Tamandua tetradactyla: one gene and its partner. The protein of the gene in region 1 interacts with the protein of each later gene in a pairwise test. Links are inferred from orthologs where the notes say so. Each region holds a gene or a part of one and is shown on either strand. Other genes may lie near its edges.

Region 1 (7,885 bases):
CTTTATTTTGTTTCATTTATCTCTTCCCCCTTTTGGTCAAGAAGGTTTTCTCAATCCCTTGATGCCAGGTCCCGTCTCATCCTGGGATCTCTGTTCCACGTTGCCAGGGAGGTTTACACTCCCGGGAGTCATGTCCCACGCAGAGAGGGGGAGGGCAGTGAGTTCACTTGCCGTATCAGCTTAGAGAGAGAGAGGCCACATCTGAGCAACAAAAGAGGTTCTCTGGAAGTGACTCTTAGGCCTAATTTTAAGGAGGCTTAGCCTATCCTTTGTGGGGCTAAGTTTCCTAGGGACGAACCCCAAGTTCAAGGGCTCAGCCTATTGATTTGGTTGTCCCCACTGCTTGCGAGAATATCAGAAAGTCTCCAGATGGGGAAGTTGTATATTTCCCCTTTTCTCCCCATTCCCTCAAGGGGACTCTGCAACTACTCATTTATTCACTGAGTATTTATCAGGGCATCACACCAACCTGGACAAACCAACAAAATCTCATGCCCTATTCAAGATTCCCAGTACTTACGGTGCTAACTAAACTGACCACACAAGTTAAATTAGGAAATACACTACCGAAAGTATAAATTTTGCACCAAAATAAACATCTCTACCTTTAGTCTCATATAGAAGTTGAAGTTTTAAAATATGGACGATAGAACCCCTTACCCCGTCTTCTGATATACCTTAGTCCTATCCAGATGAGCTCCATTCATCTCTCTACTCGATGTCTGATGACTTTTTTAACTTTTTAAACAGTTCCTGTATGTGGTACTGCTGACCTTCACAGCTTCAGAGCTCTCACTGAGTCTCAAGTGTCACATAAATACTCAAAGTTTCTGGACGACCAGTTACATACAAACAGCTCAGTATCTCAGATTTCAGAGTTGCATAGTGGCATTTTTTACAATTGCCCAAAGATAGAAGCAACCAAAGTGTCCCTCAAGAGATGGCTGGATACATAGGGATGACAGTTACATAAAATGGAACATTCTTCATCTGTAGAAAGGAATGAAGTCCTGGGGATGCAACTACATGGATGCAAGTTGAAGACAGCGTGTTGTGGGAAATGAGCCAGACAACAAAAGGACAAATATTGTATGAGCTCACTGACACGGAATAATTAGATTGAGCAAGCCCCTAGAATCAGAAACCAGAATGCAGGCTCCCGGGGGGGGGGGGGGGGGATGGGATGGAGAGCTGTACAGAGTTTCTAGTCCGGACAATAGGGAAGTTTGGCCATGGAAGTTGGTGTTGGCAGTAGCACCCCATGATTACCAGCCCTGGATTCCACATTTGAAGGTGGTTAAAAGGAGGAAACGTTAGGTTGTATGTAAGTTGTTAGAATAATAATGGAAACACAAACGACATAGGACTGTCCGATGTTCACAAGCAGTGAACCTTCATGGAAATTATGGACTATAGTTAATGGGACAATTATAACATTGTTTCATCGGCTGTAACAAAAGCACCACATTAATGCAAGGTGTTAAAAATCGGGAAACTGGTGTGTGTAGGGGGGGAGGATGTTCGGAGACTGTATTTTCCGTGTTATTTTTCTGTAAATCCACAACTTCTCTAGTAATATATACGGAAAACAAATTTTTAAAAAGTCACTTAGAAATTAAAAACAAAAACAAGCAAGCTCCCTGAGACAGGCTCACGCAGGAGGGTTTGCAGAAGGGTTCATTATTTTCCACTCATGACGGATCCACTCCCGTGGACTCCTCAGCTCTGCCAGGAGCAGGGCTAGAGACCGCCCTCCTCCACCCGGGCCTGCGCGCACCGGCCGCTCCGCCTCTGCACCGCCCTGGCCCGCCCGGCGGGGACGCCCCCGGGACCGAGCGGGAGCGCAGGGCCGAGGGCCCGGGGAGGGGCTGAGACGCTCCCCTCGGGCTAGAGGGCTTCCCGGGGAGATAGAGGGGGGCTTGGAAGGGCAACTCCGGAGGACAGGAGCAGGAGCACGGCTGGGTCTGGGGTCTCGGCTCCTTGCGGGCTGGGCTGCCGCGCGGGGGGAACCTCCCAAGTCAGGGTGGGGGCCCAGGGAGGCTGGGGGAGGGGCCGCCCCTCTCGGCCCCTCCCCCAGCGTTAGGTTGGGGGCCCTGCTCCTTCTTTCAACAGATTCTCTCCAGAGCCCTGGGAAGGCGGGATCTGAGGAGATGGCTGCTCCCCAGCTCAGGAGCCCCTCCCCAGCTGCCTTCCTGCGCACCTGCCCCCGCCCCTCTTGCCCACCTGCCTCCTCTGCACACCTGCCCCCCGCCCCTCCTGCACACCTGCACCCCTCCCATCCCCCTGCCTGCGCACCTGCTCCCGGCCCCTCCCCCACCTGCACACCTGCTCCCCACCCCCACCCTGCGCACCTGCTCCCCGCCCCTTGGGCCCCATCTGGGACTCATGCCCAGACCCTAGGCTCAGGAAAGAGGTCCTCTCAGGCCCCGACATGCACCAGGGGGACCAGGTGCCCAGGGCCTCCTCTCGGGCCCCCTCCTGTGCCCCTGCACCCACCCGCAGCGTCCCTTTCCTCTGCCTGTGCCCTCTGATGCCTGGGAGATGAGAATCTTGGGGTCCACGCCCTCCTCCGCCTGCAAGCCCTGGGGCAGGAGGAGTTTTGGGCTGGAGAGCTGCTGGCTCTGGGCAGCCTGCCCCAGGCGCGGTCCTCACTGTTCCACAGCAAGGCTGACGGATGGGGTGCTGCCAGGTCTAAGAACTCAACATACTGGTGCCCAGTGAAGTCAGAATTCCAGATAAACAAAGATAACGTCTTTGTTTAAGTGGGTCTCTGTAACTTCTGGGATGCACTCATACTAAAGAGATATTCACTGTTCATCTGAAATTCCAATCTCACCGGACATCCGGTATTTTCTCTGACGACCCTAACCCCTACGGGGCCCTAATACATACGGGGCAATAGTCCCGGGGCCCTAACACATACGGGCCTACCCGGGAAGCCGGGGAAAGGCGGCAGATAGCCTCGGGGTGAGTCCGACCCTGCCACCGGAGGCGTGTAAGAGGCTGCCCAGGGGCTTCCTGGATCTCCCACCTCCCCGGACCTGCTTCCCATTGGATGGGACGCTGGCACCCACTGCCGTCCTCACAGCCCCTCGGGCCTTCCCAAGTGGACAGAGGCTTGGGGTCCAGAGCTGCTCCCAGAACCCTCAGCCGTCCACGCTGACTGCCCTGTGCCTGACACCTGGGGACGAGGGTGTCTCACAGGGTCCCAGGGACCATCTTGCGTCTCTAAAGACAGACGTCGAGACAGACGTCGGGGCCACCGCTCTTGGACCTCTTCCCGCTGCCAGGTCCTCCCATGATTGAGTGTGCCCTGTCCACGCTGCCACAGGAGCTCCCAGGGCTCAGGGCCCAGGTCTCCTTCACCCCCTGGCATCCTCTCACTAAGCACAGACACGGAGCTGGGGACCCGACTCGCCTTCCCTGCTCCACAACCTTCCATAGCTCCCCATGGCCCTGGGAATCAGGACCCTGCAATTACAACCAGTCTGCCTTGTCAAACAGCACCCCCGTTACCCTCAAGGCCCCCAACCTGGCCCGTGCTACCCACTCCGCGCCCCACGGCTGCGCCCGGCCCACTTAGGCCCTGGTCTCTCCTTCGTCCAGCAGTGGCTCTCTGCTGGGTACCTTCCGCGCGTAGCCCTGTGCTAAGCTCCTGACATCCTCCCATGGAAGACGTGCAGTCCACAACCCCCACGGCAGCTTAGCCCGGCGGCCATGTGCTCCCCCGGGCATGTGTTTACAAGTCCGATTCCCGACCACATGGGGCTGGGGGAGAAGTGCAGACATGCACGAAGCTGGGGGCCCGCGGCTGGGCCTGCCCCTCCCGCCCAGGGGAGGCAGCGTCCCCGGCCAGGCTGTGCTCGGTCAGCGCGGGCCACCGGCGTGAGCTGCCCCGGGGAGCTCTGAGGCTGCGAGGGACGTGGAAGGCCCACCTGCTCACAGGGCCGGCCGCTTGGCACCACCCCAGCCCCTCTGCAGGCCCGGCCGCCACTGAACCCACCCAGGCCCCCCTCCGTCCTCACTGGACTCCCCGGAGTCACAGGTGCCGGGGGCACAGGGACTTCACCCCGGGGCGCCCCGGGCACTGGTGCCTGCGGGCATGAGGTGTGGGTCACCGACTAGGCCCTGCCTCGGGGAAGCCGCGGCCTCGGCACCACGGGCTCGGGGGAGGGGACCGGAAGGAGAGAAAGAAGGAGGGAGGGAGAAGTCCCTCCCCGCGGCCCAGCGAGCCCCTCCGCACGGGCGCCCCGCCCTCCCCCCGGCTCCCCTCCTCCCAGGGCCGGCCCCCGGCTAGGGAGCGTCCGCAGTTCTCCTCCGTCGGTGCCGCCAACTTTCGGCCTTCTGTACGGCGTCAGCCCATTGGGTGGATTCAAGGGACGCCCCGCCCCGGGCCCCGCGGTGGCCAATTGTAAGGACTTTGACAGGGAGCTGAACTTGGGGGAGCGGCACCGGTCTGCGATGCTTCGGGACGGCCTTAGGCCTCGGTGGTTCCTGCTCCCCGGACCCGGGCGCTGACCTCAAGGAGACCTCCGGGACCGGCGCCCGGAGAGGTGTCCACCGGGCATCCGGGGAGCCCTTGGCGGTCTCTGTCCCGCGTTTCCCCCTCAGCTCGTCGGCGCGTCCGCCCGTGGACGCGCACCTCCAGAAAGGGAGTTTGTCGACGCTCCCTGGTTTGCGGGACGCGGCTCCTTTAAGGGGGCAGGTGTCCAGAGTGCGGCCTGACTGGAAGTTCGTACTCCTCCCGGGCTCCCAGGCCCGGCGCGAAGCGCGAGCGCGCGGCGGCGGGACACGGGCAGCAGGCGGCGCGGGGCGGGCAGCGGCGGTGGCGCTGCTGGGCGGCGGCGGCGGCGCACGGGGCAGGCGCGCGGCGGGCAGCCCGGCGCCAGGCCCCGCCCCGCGCGCCCCGCCCGCGCCGGGGTCCTCGGAGGTGCTCGGGCTGCGCGCGGAGCGGGCTCCGGAGGGAAGTCCCGAGACAAAGGGAAGCGCCGCCGCCGCCGCCCGCCGCCCGCGCCCGCTCGGCTCCTCCGCCTCGTCGCGACGCTCACCGGGGCCGCGGCCGCCCGAGGTGAGCGCGGGCCGCGCGCGGGGCGGGGCGGGCGCGCCGGGGCCGCCGCCGGGCCGGCCGGGCCTGGCCTGGGCCGCGGGGGCCGGGCAGGCCTCGGCGGGGGCCGGGCGGGGGCTCGCCGGGGCTCGGCGCCCTCTCACCTCTGTGCAGGGCCGGACGGAGGGTCCGCCGCGCCGAGAAACTTCGTCCCGCCTCCTTCGGGGGAGCGGCTGCGGCGCGGAGTCGCTGTCGGGCAAGCTTCCCCGAGCCCCGGCGTCCCCTCGGCCTTGCGGCTGCGGTCTCACCGCTTTCCCTCTCTGCCCTCGCGGGCTCGGCAGCGGCTCGGGGATGCCCCTGGGTGCTCGGGAGAGCGAAGAGGAGCCCGCAGCTCCGGCGTTGGGAGAGCGGAGCACGGAGCTGCCGGGAAGGCGAAGCGGCAGGACGTCCACCCCAACACGGAGCTTTCGACGGCCGAAGGGGAATTCATTTCTGGGGCCACAGGGCCGGACGACAGACCTGCAGCACTTTGCAGCCGCGGAGCGAAGCCGACAGCAGAGTTGAGAGCCTGGGATTGCTAAAAACGCTGGCTCTTGGGGAGCGGGGTCGGTTTGGTTCTGATGTCTTCATCAAAACAAGTCTCCGTTTTCTTGGTAAAAAGACGTTCTGTGTGAAGCCGATGGATCACGCCGAAGATTAGCTCTGCACTTGACGGAGAGTTCTGTTTTATATTTAAAGTTGCTTTGTGCTGATTGTATGGGGTTGAAAGTAGTAGTTAACCTGAGTGAGAAGGTGAGAGGAGTCGTTGGCGCGGAGCATGGTCCGCGGTCACCGCAGGATCCCTGTATTAACTTGTTTCGTCTTTATCATCCTAAGTTATGTTCAGTTCCTTAGTTTGCAAAGTTACTGTGACTTTTCCCTCCCTTTTGAAGATGATAGCTTTAAATGTTTCTCGTTATACAGAAAACGTTGCCTTTATTTAAAGAACCTACCCAACAGAAAACAGAAATCTGGCTTAAGTCCGTTGTGGTTTGCTTACAGAGAGATTCGTTTGCTCTAGCCCTTTTGAGTGGTGATGGGGTGAATTCTGCCTTCTTGTGTGCCTTTGCTGGCTGGGGTGGAGTCTTGGGACCTTGCTTCAGAAACAGGGGTGATGGGGGGAGCATGGAGGAGGTGCGGGCAGGGTGACAGGGTCTGCTCAGTGCAGGTCGCGTGGGGTTTGCAGAGTTGTGCCCCGCCTTGTTCCAGAGGGTGTCCCAAGCATACAGGCGCCTGTGCTTCCTTCAGTTATCAGTTCATCCTCTCCAGCCTTCCAAGGCCACAGGACTATCACCCTTCCTGCAGATGAGTACATTGAGGTTCGGGGCGATAAATGTCTTGCCCACGCACACACAGCAAGTGAGTCGGCTCTGAAGTCCGTGCCCTCAGCTGGCAGAGTTGATGAAAGGTGCACCCCTCCTGGAGCCCCGGAAGAAGTGGGGGCAGGCTGTACCTCACTGCCCTGCCCAGCGAGCACCTGGCCTTGTCCGGGGGTGGGGAGGGTGTGCTTTGCGGGTTTCCAGCACCTTATAGTTTGTAGGGTTTTATTTTCTTTGGCTTTGCATCATCTAACGTTCCTTCTCTGAAGCACCTGATAGCACTTGACTGCTCAGCCAGTGCCTCTCATTTCTGAAGGTAGATTGAGATGTGGAAGCTTATCATCGAAATGTAACAAGTTGACTGTTTTCTCCTGGAGGAGAGACTGGTAGGAACAGGAGGCTGCCTGGGACAGACACCTGTGGCTCCTTACCCTAATGGCCAAAACATTCTTTCTGGTGTCTGATCTGGTCTGTCAAGGTGGGCAAAGGTGAAACAGATTGTCCTCCCTCACAGGGGGGCTGCAGGGGTCCTATACGACCAGCCCCTGGTGTGAGGGTGCTCCAGGGCACAGGACATTTCAGAAGCAGCCAGCTTAGGACCGTGGCTCTGGTAGGCTCTAACGAGGCCAGGGCCTCGGTTGGAGCTCTGTTCCTTGTCAAATCAGAAGAGGGGCTTGAGGTGGGGTCCCAGCACAAGGTCGGCGGGCAGGTGGCCCTAGAGAGCATCCTGTTGGCTTCTCCCATGTGCCTGCCTTGGGCCCAGTCCCTCCAGAACAAACTGAATGTCCTTTTGCCCCCTTACAGTGTCTGTGGCTCCCTTAAGGACCCACCTGGCCTGGATGATAGCTTAGAGGCGGCTGGTCTTCCCTCACCCAAGTTCTGAGCGTATTAACTGAGCAGATGCCAGTGCTCTCTGCTCTGTGCTGGTGCTGGATGGGGAGCAAGCTGCAGAGGCCTTCCCATGAGCTCCTGTCTTCAGGGCACCTGCATGGGCAGGCAGAGTGGGGAGGCTGGGCATGCAGTGCCCCTGTGCACAGGGTCTGGGAGAAAGGGGCACCCCCAGCAGGGTGGACATGCACTCCAGCTGGCCCTTGGAGGCACCTCGGGTTTCAGCCTGCGGAGGAGCTGGGTCATTCTCTTCCCCAGAAGAACCAGCTGAGGGAAGGGTTTTTAGACACTGGGTTATGGCCATAGCCCCTGGCCAGTCAGCTTACCTGCCTCTGCTACACACCTTTGTCAATTTTCAGCACAGAGGGAGCCACAGAAACATAAGTGGGTTCCAGCTCTCCTCTGACCAAAACCCCCTAAAGGCTTCACACCAGGACTTAAGACCTTTCCCATCCTTTCTGCCCGTGCCCCCACCCTGCTAAGAAGCTCTGCACTGGCTGTTCTTACCTGGAACAGCCTCCCAGATGCCAACCTGACTTTGCTTAGCTGTACCCAGTGGCCCACCTAATCCCTTGTAAAACTTGCAGTCCTTCTA
Region 2 (8,287 bases), on another chromosome or scaffold:
AGGGTTCCGCGTGCTAGATAACTTTCCAGAAACCTAAAACCTCCCTGGACCAGGTAAGTCCTGAAACCTAGAGGGCCCAGCCTCTCCAGAACATCAGATAGTTCCATCTCTCTACCCCGTAATTATTAACAGTGCCTTCCAACATGAAAAAGTTAGAATGGCCACAGTTCAAATACTCCTTGAGAGGGGGATGGAAAGATCGTAGGTGACGGTGGAGTTATACAGAGAAGGTACAGTTTAACAAATGAATAAGACTGCTGAATCACTAAATTGATTTTTCTTTTAGTCTTCAGTATCTTAGAGCAGCTAGAAGTAAAAACTTAAAATTGTGGAACTGTAACCCATATCAAACTCTGAAATCTGTTCTATAACTAATTGTTCTGCTGTGCTTTGAAATTTATTGGTTTTTTGTACATGCTATTTTTCACGAAAAAGAAAAAAAAGTAGATTGTGATAATAAAGTATTTATTTCTTCTAGCCTCCTATGTTCTGGAGCAGCTAGAAGGAAAAATCTGAGATGATGGTATGGTGGACCATGACAAACTCTGGGATCTGTCCTATAACTACCTGTTGAAGACTGCTTTGAAAACTATTGCTTTTTCCTTTTTTTGCTTTGTACGTATGCTATATTATACAATAAAAAAAGTTTAAAAAGAAAAAAAAAGGCACACCCTAAACAATCCATAGTAGATCCAGTCTCTATCAGATCCTGTTTCATTTTCTTCCCGGCACTTACCACTACCTGAATTTATTCTGTTTATGTCTCCTCACAACAGAGGGCATGCTCCATGAAGGCAGAGTGCTACCTTCACTGATGAATCCCAAAGACCAAGAACATTACCTAAAACATAAAACATTCAATAAATACACACTGAATGACTAAATACTAATGTAGTACCTCTACTTAAAATTTAAGTTCAGGGTGCACGGGTGGTTCAATGGTAGAATGCTTGTCTTCCATGCAGGAGATCCGGGTTCAATTCCCGGACTATGCACCCCCCAAAAAAATTAAGTTCAGCTCAGAATTTGTTTATAAACATGTAGTTCACTCCTCATGCAATGGTACATATCAAGCATCTGCGGAAAACAGGGCCAGTTGTTACCAAGAATCTCTAGGATGCACAAGACAAAGAACAGAGGTATAAAACATCCAAATGCAATTCTGGACTTTTACTGAACAATGATTACAAGTTTCTGAAAGAAAAAACATTCAGGATGATATTAAAGAACATTACTAGGAGTAATATTTGAGGACCCTATTAATGAAGGCTGTTAGAGCATGAGTAGTATCTGCAATAGGACAGTAGTTTCATGTGGAACAACAAACACGGCTTCATCCTAAGTATTTTTCTGATATATATACATAATATGAAGGAATTTATACTCTGAGCATAGAATTTCCTTCTGGGGATTTGATTGTGATGAATACAACAATATATACCAAAAACACCTAACCTTAAAACAAATCTAATAAAGAGATTAGAGAAAACCAGAATTATCTGTCCCAAATTTCTCTTTTTAACAATTGAGAGTGATCTGAAGCCAACAAAGATTAGCAAAACAGTCAAAGGTCTAATGGATAGCAAAACCAGATGTAAAAATCCTGATCTACTGTCTCTCGTCCTATATTCTTTCATAAGACACTGTCCTCTGAGAATAGTGACGTCATTATAATGTATTTTAATTGTTATTATTTTTAGGACTGTCATTTTTTTTTTTCCTATTCGAAGTCTTAGTCCATAGTAATCTTTGATTACTTAGTCCTTAATCAAAGTAAGGGCACATATTATTATGCCTTAAGTAAAATTTGGTTCAATTCAATAAATTTTTCATTCCACATGTTAAAATGTGAGTAAAAATGAAAATAATTCTATTTAAGCGCATTCACTAAAAATTTCTTAGCTTTAGATGTTAAATTGCTGTTCTCTTGTTTTAAATATGAGTATAGCTATTTCCCAATCAGGCGGAAAAATTGAGAATAGACTTACTACCAAAGTGAAAGTCACCAAATCTAGAAATTTCAAGTTATAACCTCTACATAATAAATTTTTCATCAAAACATATTATTTGGATAATACCTTTCTCCAAGATCTAACAGTTTTTAGTGAAAGAATTATGTGGCCAAAAAACACCAAACAAAAGGGAAAAGGTAACAGAAGAAAAAGGATCTACCTAAGACAGAAACTCTACTCTTAAAATTTACCAACAATATTGTTCAAGCCAATTGAAAAACATCCCTCACCAATTCTTAGAATACTACTACAAATATTAAGCGGCAAACAAAAAAATGACCAAGCAGAGATGATAAAGTCATTTGTCCAAGGTTAAATGGCAAGACAGTGTTAGGAACCAAATAAAGGCTTTGTAAAAAAAAAAAAAAAAAAAATCCTATTCAAGACTCTTTTCAGGGTAAAGGGGTTGCTTTCTTCCTATCCCATCTGGTTTGTCCCACAAACGTAGACAAAGACTACTATTTAGTATGAAAAACAACATGTTTTATGTTGACATGAAAATTTTTAGTAAGGATTGTAAACTATAGAAACGTAGATCTTCATCTCTAATTAAGCCAGGTAAAACCCGTATTGTAGAGCTTCTAGGTAACATCAAAATCACATTCTAGCATATGAATGCAATGACATAAAAGACAAAAATGGCAAAGGCTAAGATAAGGTAAGGCAACATTAGGCTTATCTTTTCCCCATCCTGTACTTTTTGGTTGAAGAGGCCCGTAAAACAAGAAAAGTATAAAATATCAAGCGAAATAAACTTTGAAGTCAGGTTGAAAAGCAGTAAGAACTCATATAAAACGAAGCCTATGTCAGCTTGTATCTTATCACTCAAGAGTTCTAAATTCATAGTGCACGTAAACCAAGAAACAGGAAAGCTTACAACAGTGCAGTGGAGTCACCCCATACTACAAACACCAACAAAATAAATGAACACCCTATACTTCCTGGTATTTTTTAAACGTTAAAAATTACCCTTGCTTTAAGAAGCATCTGCAAAAATCTACCAAAACCTATTTTAAAACTATTGTGGGAAAATCTCTCATCCTGCAATACAGAATAGGTATGTCCACTATAGCACAGCTACTGACTCTGGTAAATTATCTAAGGGCAATAATAAAAAAAATCAAGCTTCTTTTTTAATGATCTACAAGTCAACTCCACACAAATATCTGACGCGTCTGTATTTCGGCTGTTCCACGGACTATGTTTCCTTGATCTCACAAGAAGGCAACTCCCTAATCGGCAGGGTTGACCTAGCGCCCTCCAACTCCCTCAGTCCAGGTTACCTTCATCACTCCATTGTCAAATTGTACTCTCACGCCTCAGTCAAGAGCCCCCATCATAAGACTAGGGAGAGTCAAAAAAGGAAAGAAATCCCCTCATCCATACTCCCTTACTCTGGGGTGTGGGTGTGTCTGTACACATACGCTTTGCCCGAATCCAAACTCAGACCCCAGGCCACCATCCCGCGGGCAACAACCCGCCGGTCGCCGACCCCAGCCGCAGCCCTTCCTCTTTCTCGCCTCCTGGGCAGCCCCTCCCCCGATGCGCGCACGCGCGGCCTCCAATCGATCCCCTCCCCCCGGCCCCTCACCTTAGTCATTAGCCACCCTCTTCCCAGGGTCCGGGAATCACTGGCCCAGGAAAGAAGACAGGAGATGTGAGGGGGGAAGGGAATGCGTCGAGAGCTAGCGATCCGCGACTCAGATCTCGGCCTAAATAGGCCCCTGTAGCCAAGAGCAGCGTCTGTCACCGCCACCAAAACTGTAAGACCGGCAATGCCTGGGCTCGGCCCAGTCAACCCGGCTTGGGTTTAGAATGCCTGATTTCGCCCCAGAGAAACTCCTTCTCCAAAGATGCGGGCGTTTCTATGCTGCGCAAATCGAGGACCTCGATACCATCGCCGCCACTGCTGCTGCTCCACTACCGCTGCCGCCGCCGCCTAACCAATCCCTCCTCTACAGAACGAGAACGACACTTGGGTCCTTTACGACAGTTCGGAAAGTGAGAGCGCAATAGCCTTCACGGCTCCATTAATAGCGCTTGTTTCTGCGCTTGCTCAGATTCTTGTTTCCCACTGTCCCGCCCCCTTGCCCCGCCCCTCCCCCTTTGTAATCACTTTACCAGTCTGTTGGCGAAACCGAACGTGTCACAAAGCTCATTATTTTATTTTCCTTGGTGATTGTGTGTTCAATACCTAGGTAAATTTTTTACTACCTCTTTGATAAATCTTTTGTAACTAAAAATTGGACTAGCCACAAAATTATTGACTATACCTACGGTACACTTAAAAACAGCATGGTTTGGTGTCTTTCACGACCCGTGATATCCAAATCATCCGCGCTAATGGCATAAAGACCACGCACAGCACCTCACTGTGCGAATTATTAAGGCGAATTTGTTTCCGGAATCAGATTAACAGTGGTAATAAACGTCCTGGGAACCTGGCTGTAGCTGTACAATCACATAAGCCTTTTTATTTAATTATCTTATAAAATGAATAGATAGCACATGCTTCATTATGTGCACTTGGAGGATGTAGGGAAAGAGCACCAACTTAGAGTCAATCAGACAGACTTCCCCTTCAAATTTCAATGATGCCACTTAACAGCTGTTTGGTTTATTAAATATTTGTAAATCTTAGTTTCCTTCGTTATAAATTGGGATAGCATTATTTACCTCAAAGGGTTCGTGTGAGATTAAATGAGACAGTTTAATTAATGTCCCTAATATTACTTACCAGTTAAATGTTCAATAAACATTAATTCCTTTGCCATCAACTCATCTTTCTCAATACCCTTTCCTTTGTTCACTCATGTTGTCCATATTGCTCAGTGAAGATATCTTTAAAAAAGGGGGGGGCAGCAGATGTGTAGGGAAACTAGAAGAGCAATGGACTAGGATTCTTCCTTAATCCTCTTATTTTCTCACTCTAAATACACATTTTTGTCTGAACTTTGAAAATTTTTTCAAATGTGAACAAAAATACACATTTTTGTCTAAATACAACTATTTAGTTTAGTTGTCTGAACTAAAACATGGTTTTAACTGTTAATGCCTCATGATTTCTCCAACCCATATGTACAGCCCTAATCTTTCATCTAAAGCTTTAGACCTGCACTCTCTAATATGGCTGTTGAACTCTTAAAATTGATCTAGTACAAACTGAAAAGTGCTGTAAGTGGAAATTTTACATCCAATTCCACGATGTAAAGTAGATTATTTTTAGAAGACTGTAAAATATCCCACTAATTTCTTATAATGAGTACATGTTGAAATAATATTTTGGATATGCTGGGTTAAATCAGTGGTTCTCAACTGGGAACAATCCTTGCTCACCACTCTCCACTCCCATCCACCCCACCCCCACATCATTTGGCAATGTTGGACATTTTCTGTTTGTCACAACCAGGGGAGATTGAGGGGAATGCAACTAACATCTAGTGGGTAGAGGCTAGGGATGCTGCTATGCATTCTGTAATTCACAGGGCAGCCCCCCAAAACAAATTATCATCTGGTCCAAAATGTCAGTAGTAACCAGATTGAGAAATCTTAATGGTTTAGAAAAGATTGAGCAATGAAGTTAGACAGAGACAAGTATCTTTTCATGAAATTGATAGTAAATGGAAGAATAAAGACAGACACATCTAACAGAATATGGAGTCAGAGAGGCACGATTTGAATCCTATTGGCCTGCTTAAGGGAAAGAGCCAGTAGAAAAGAGAGGTGAAAGATAATAGAAATAAAGGAATGCTCAAAGGAGAAAAATCCCTATAGAGGCAGAGAAACGGGATTCAAAGCTCAGGTGGAAGAATTAGCCATGAATGGAAGGGCCACCCCTTCCACTGAGACAGTTTAGTTTTGGGGGGCAAATTGAGGGCTTTCGGATAGATTGACCTTGATTTTCTCTATGAAACATGAGGTAAGGCCATCTGCTAAGATTTCACGTTTGGAAATGGCTGAGTGGTCAGATGAAGACAGGGAAGACAGTAAGTATATGGGCAACAAATCAAGGGCAGGAAACCCAGAGTAGAAACACAGTAAGACTATGAGAGAACAGGTGCCAAAAAGTTGTATTTAGAGATATAATAGCTAATTGTAGGGGTCAGAGATATCGCTAATCTGAAATGGACACAATATTTTCCTGATTTCTCTGTTTCTGCTCCTTCCATTATCACCAAATGAACTACAGACCATTGTCAAAATGTTGGAAAAACTGATCAAGACACTAATTTGCTTAAAATCCTTCAGGAACCCTCTGTCTTCTTTAGAATACAGTCCTAAATAGCTTGCCAAATAAAGTATTCAAAATCTAAAATCTCACTGCCATTTCACATCACCGCTGTCACCAGCCTACACTCCTGCCCTTACTTATACTTGAGCAGACTTTTCAGACTTCCTGTAGATCTTAGAAAAAATGTACTGTTTCATTTCCCGCTGCCTTTGTACTGACCGTTCTTTCTGCATCAAAGCACTCTACCCCATTCCTCTTCATCCCCCACCTGCTTTATCTGCCTAGCAAACTCTTATCCATTCCTCAAAACCCTCCCCCATGAAATAGGAACACTCATACACTGTTAGTGGGAATATAAAGTGCAGTCACTGTGAAAAACAGTTTGCAGTTCCTCAGATTGTTAAAAACAGTACTACCATATGGCCTGGTAATCCCACTTATAGGTATATACCACAAAAGAATTGAAAGCAAGGACTTGAGTAAATATTTGCACTCTGATGTTGATAGCAGCATTATTCACAATTTCCAAAAAAATCTGTGTCCTACAACAGATGAATAATAATTCATCTAATCATGAATAGTATATTTTAAAAGTGTAATATATACATTCAATGGAACATTATTCAACCATAAAAAATGAAGTTCTGATGCATGCAGCAACATGGATGAACGTTTAAGACATCATCATGCTAAGTTAAATAAGCCAGTTACAAAAGGACAAATATTATATGATCTCATTGATTTGAAATAATTAGAATACGCAGATTCATAGTTTCAGAAATTACCATACAGGAGACGGAGTCCAAAGTGAGAGTGGAGAATGGGGAGTTAATGATTAATTGGTAGAGTTTCTGTTTGGATTGATAGAAAAGCTCGGTAAAAAATGGTGGGGACGGTAGTACAACTTTGTGAATGTAATTAACACCACTGAATTGTATATTTGAAAGTGGTTAAAATGGAAAATTTGAGTTTGTTTATATGTTAAAAAATAAAAAATTTTAAAAAACTCATAGAACTGTACAACACAAAGAGTGAACCCTAAAGAAAACTGTGGACTATAGTTAATAGTATAAGCATAATAATGTCTCATCAGCTGTAACAAAGGTACCACACTAATGCAAATGCTAATAAGGAAAACTGTGTGGGAGTGTATATAGGAAGTTTTTACTTTTTGCCTGATTTTTTTGTAAACCTAAAACTGATCTAATAAAAAAAAATTATTTTAAGTGAAACAAAAAAGTCTGTGGCAATGGTGACACAGTGGCAGAGTTCTCGCCTACCATGCTGGAGACCAGGCTTCGATTCGCAGTGCCTGCCCATGAAAAAAAAAAAAAAAGTCCTTCTCCATGAAGCATTTCCTTGCCACTTTCCCCACCCTGAGGTAGTTAATAATCACTCCCAGTCCCATACCCTCTTCAATCTTGGTATATCCTTCTATTGTAAACAGTATAAATTTTATATACAACTGTCTCTTCCAAAAAAAACTAAAACCAAGAAAATTTGTCTTTTTATCCTTGTAGAAGAAGAGCACTCAATAAATTTTTTAATGAACTGAACAAGGAGACCGGGGTTCAGTTTTGCCACTAAAAAACTAGGAATCCTTCATTTTAATTAAATCATTTGAACTCTCTGAAAATTAATTTTACTCATCTGTGGAAAGATCAGGGGGATCCAACACATTCTTCAAACCAAATTTTGCCTACCTGACATGCAGCAAAATAATATTTACCAAATTAGCCTGCATACAGGGAGTGACAATGCCTAACTACCTGTTACGCAGGAATTTGAGGAGTTGGGTCCAAACGTGAAAATGCTAAGCTGAATTAATGGGTCACCTGCAATAAAAGGATAAAAGGACAATTTTTACAAATCACTTATATCAAAAGGGAGGATTGGTATCCCCACCATCCACTGCAAACTTCAAAACTGTATAAAGTTTGCAAGTTAGGGCAACTTACTATGTTGCCAGCTTTGTGAACTCTTTGGAAGAACATGAAGCAAAGTTTGCAGATTTAACGCAATGAGTTAAGTGAATCTTGAGAAC

The links.
Region 2: the proteins of UBE2I (region 1) and RNF111 interact in binary tests that used the Homo sapiens proteins (3 or more experiments, as listed by UniProt). The link is inferred for Tamandua tetradactyla from reciprocal best matches to the Homo sapiens genes UBE2I and RNF111.

The regions. Positions count from the first base shown.
Region 1 is NC_135349.1:56,133,109-56,140,993, reverse strand, and holds the start of UBE2I (SUMO-conjugating enzyme UBC9), read left to right. Parts: upstream 1-4,461; 5' UTR 4,462-4,553; intron 4,554-5,002; exon of another isoform or gene 5,003-5,068; intron 5,069-7,885. UniProt on the Homo sapiens protein: Accepts the ubiquitin-like proteins SUMO1, SUMO2, SUMO3, SUMO4 and SUMO1P1/SUMO5 from the UBLE1A-UBLE1B E1 complex and catalyzes their covalent attachment to other proteins with the help of an E3 ligase such as RANBP2, CBX4 and ZNF451.
Region 2 is NC_135340.1:74,778,003-74,786,289, reverse strand, and holds the start of RNF111 (E3 ubiquitin-protein ligase Arkadia), read right to left. Parts: upstream 3,509-8,287; 5' UTR 3,475-3,508; coding exon 3,407-3,474; intron 842-3,406; exon of another isoform or gene 784-841; coding exon of another isoform or gene 743-783; exon of another isoform or gene 737-742; intron 1-736. UniProt on the Homo sapiens protein: E3 ubiquitin-protein ligase. Required for mesoderm patterning during embryonic development. Acts as an enhancer of the transcriptional responses of the SMAD2/SMAD3 effectors, which are activated downstream of BMP.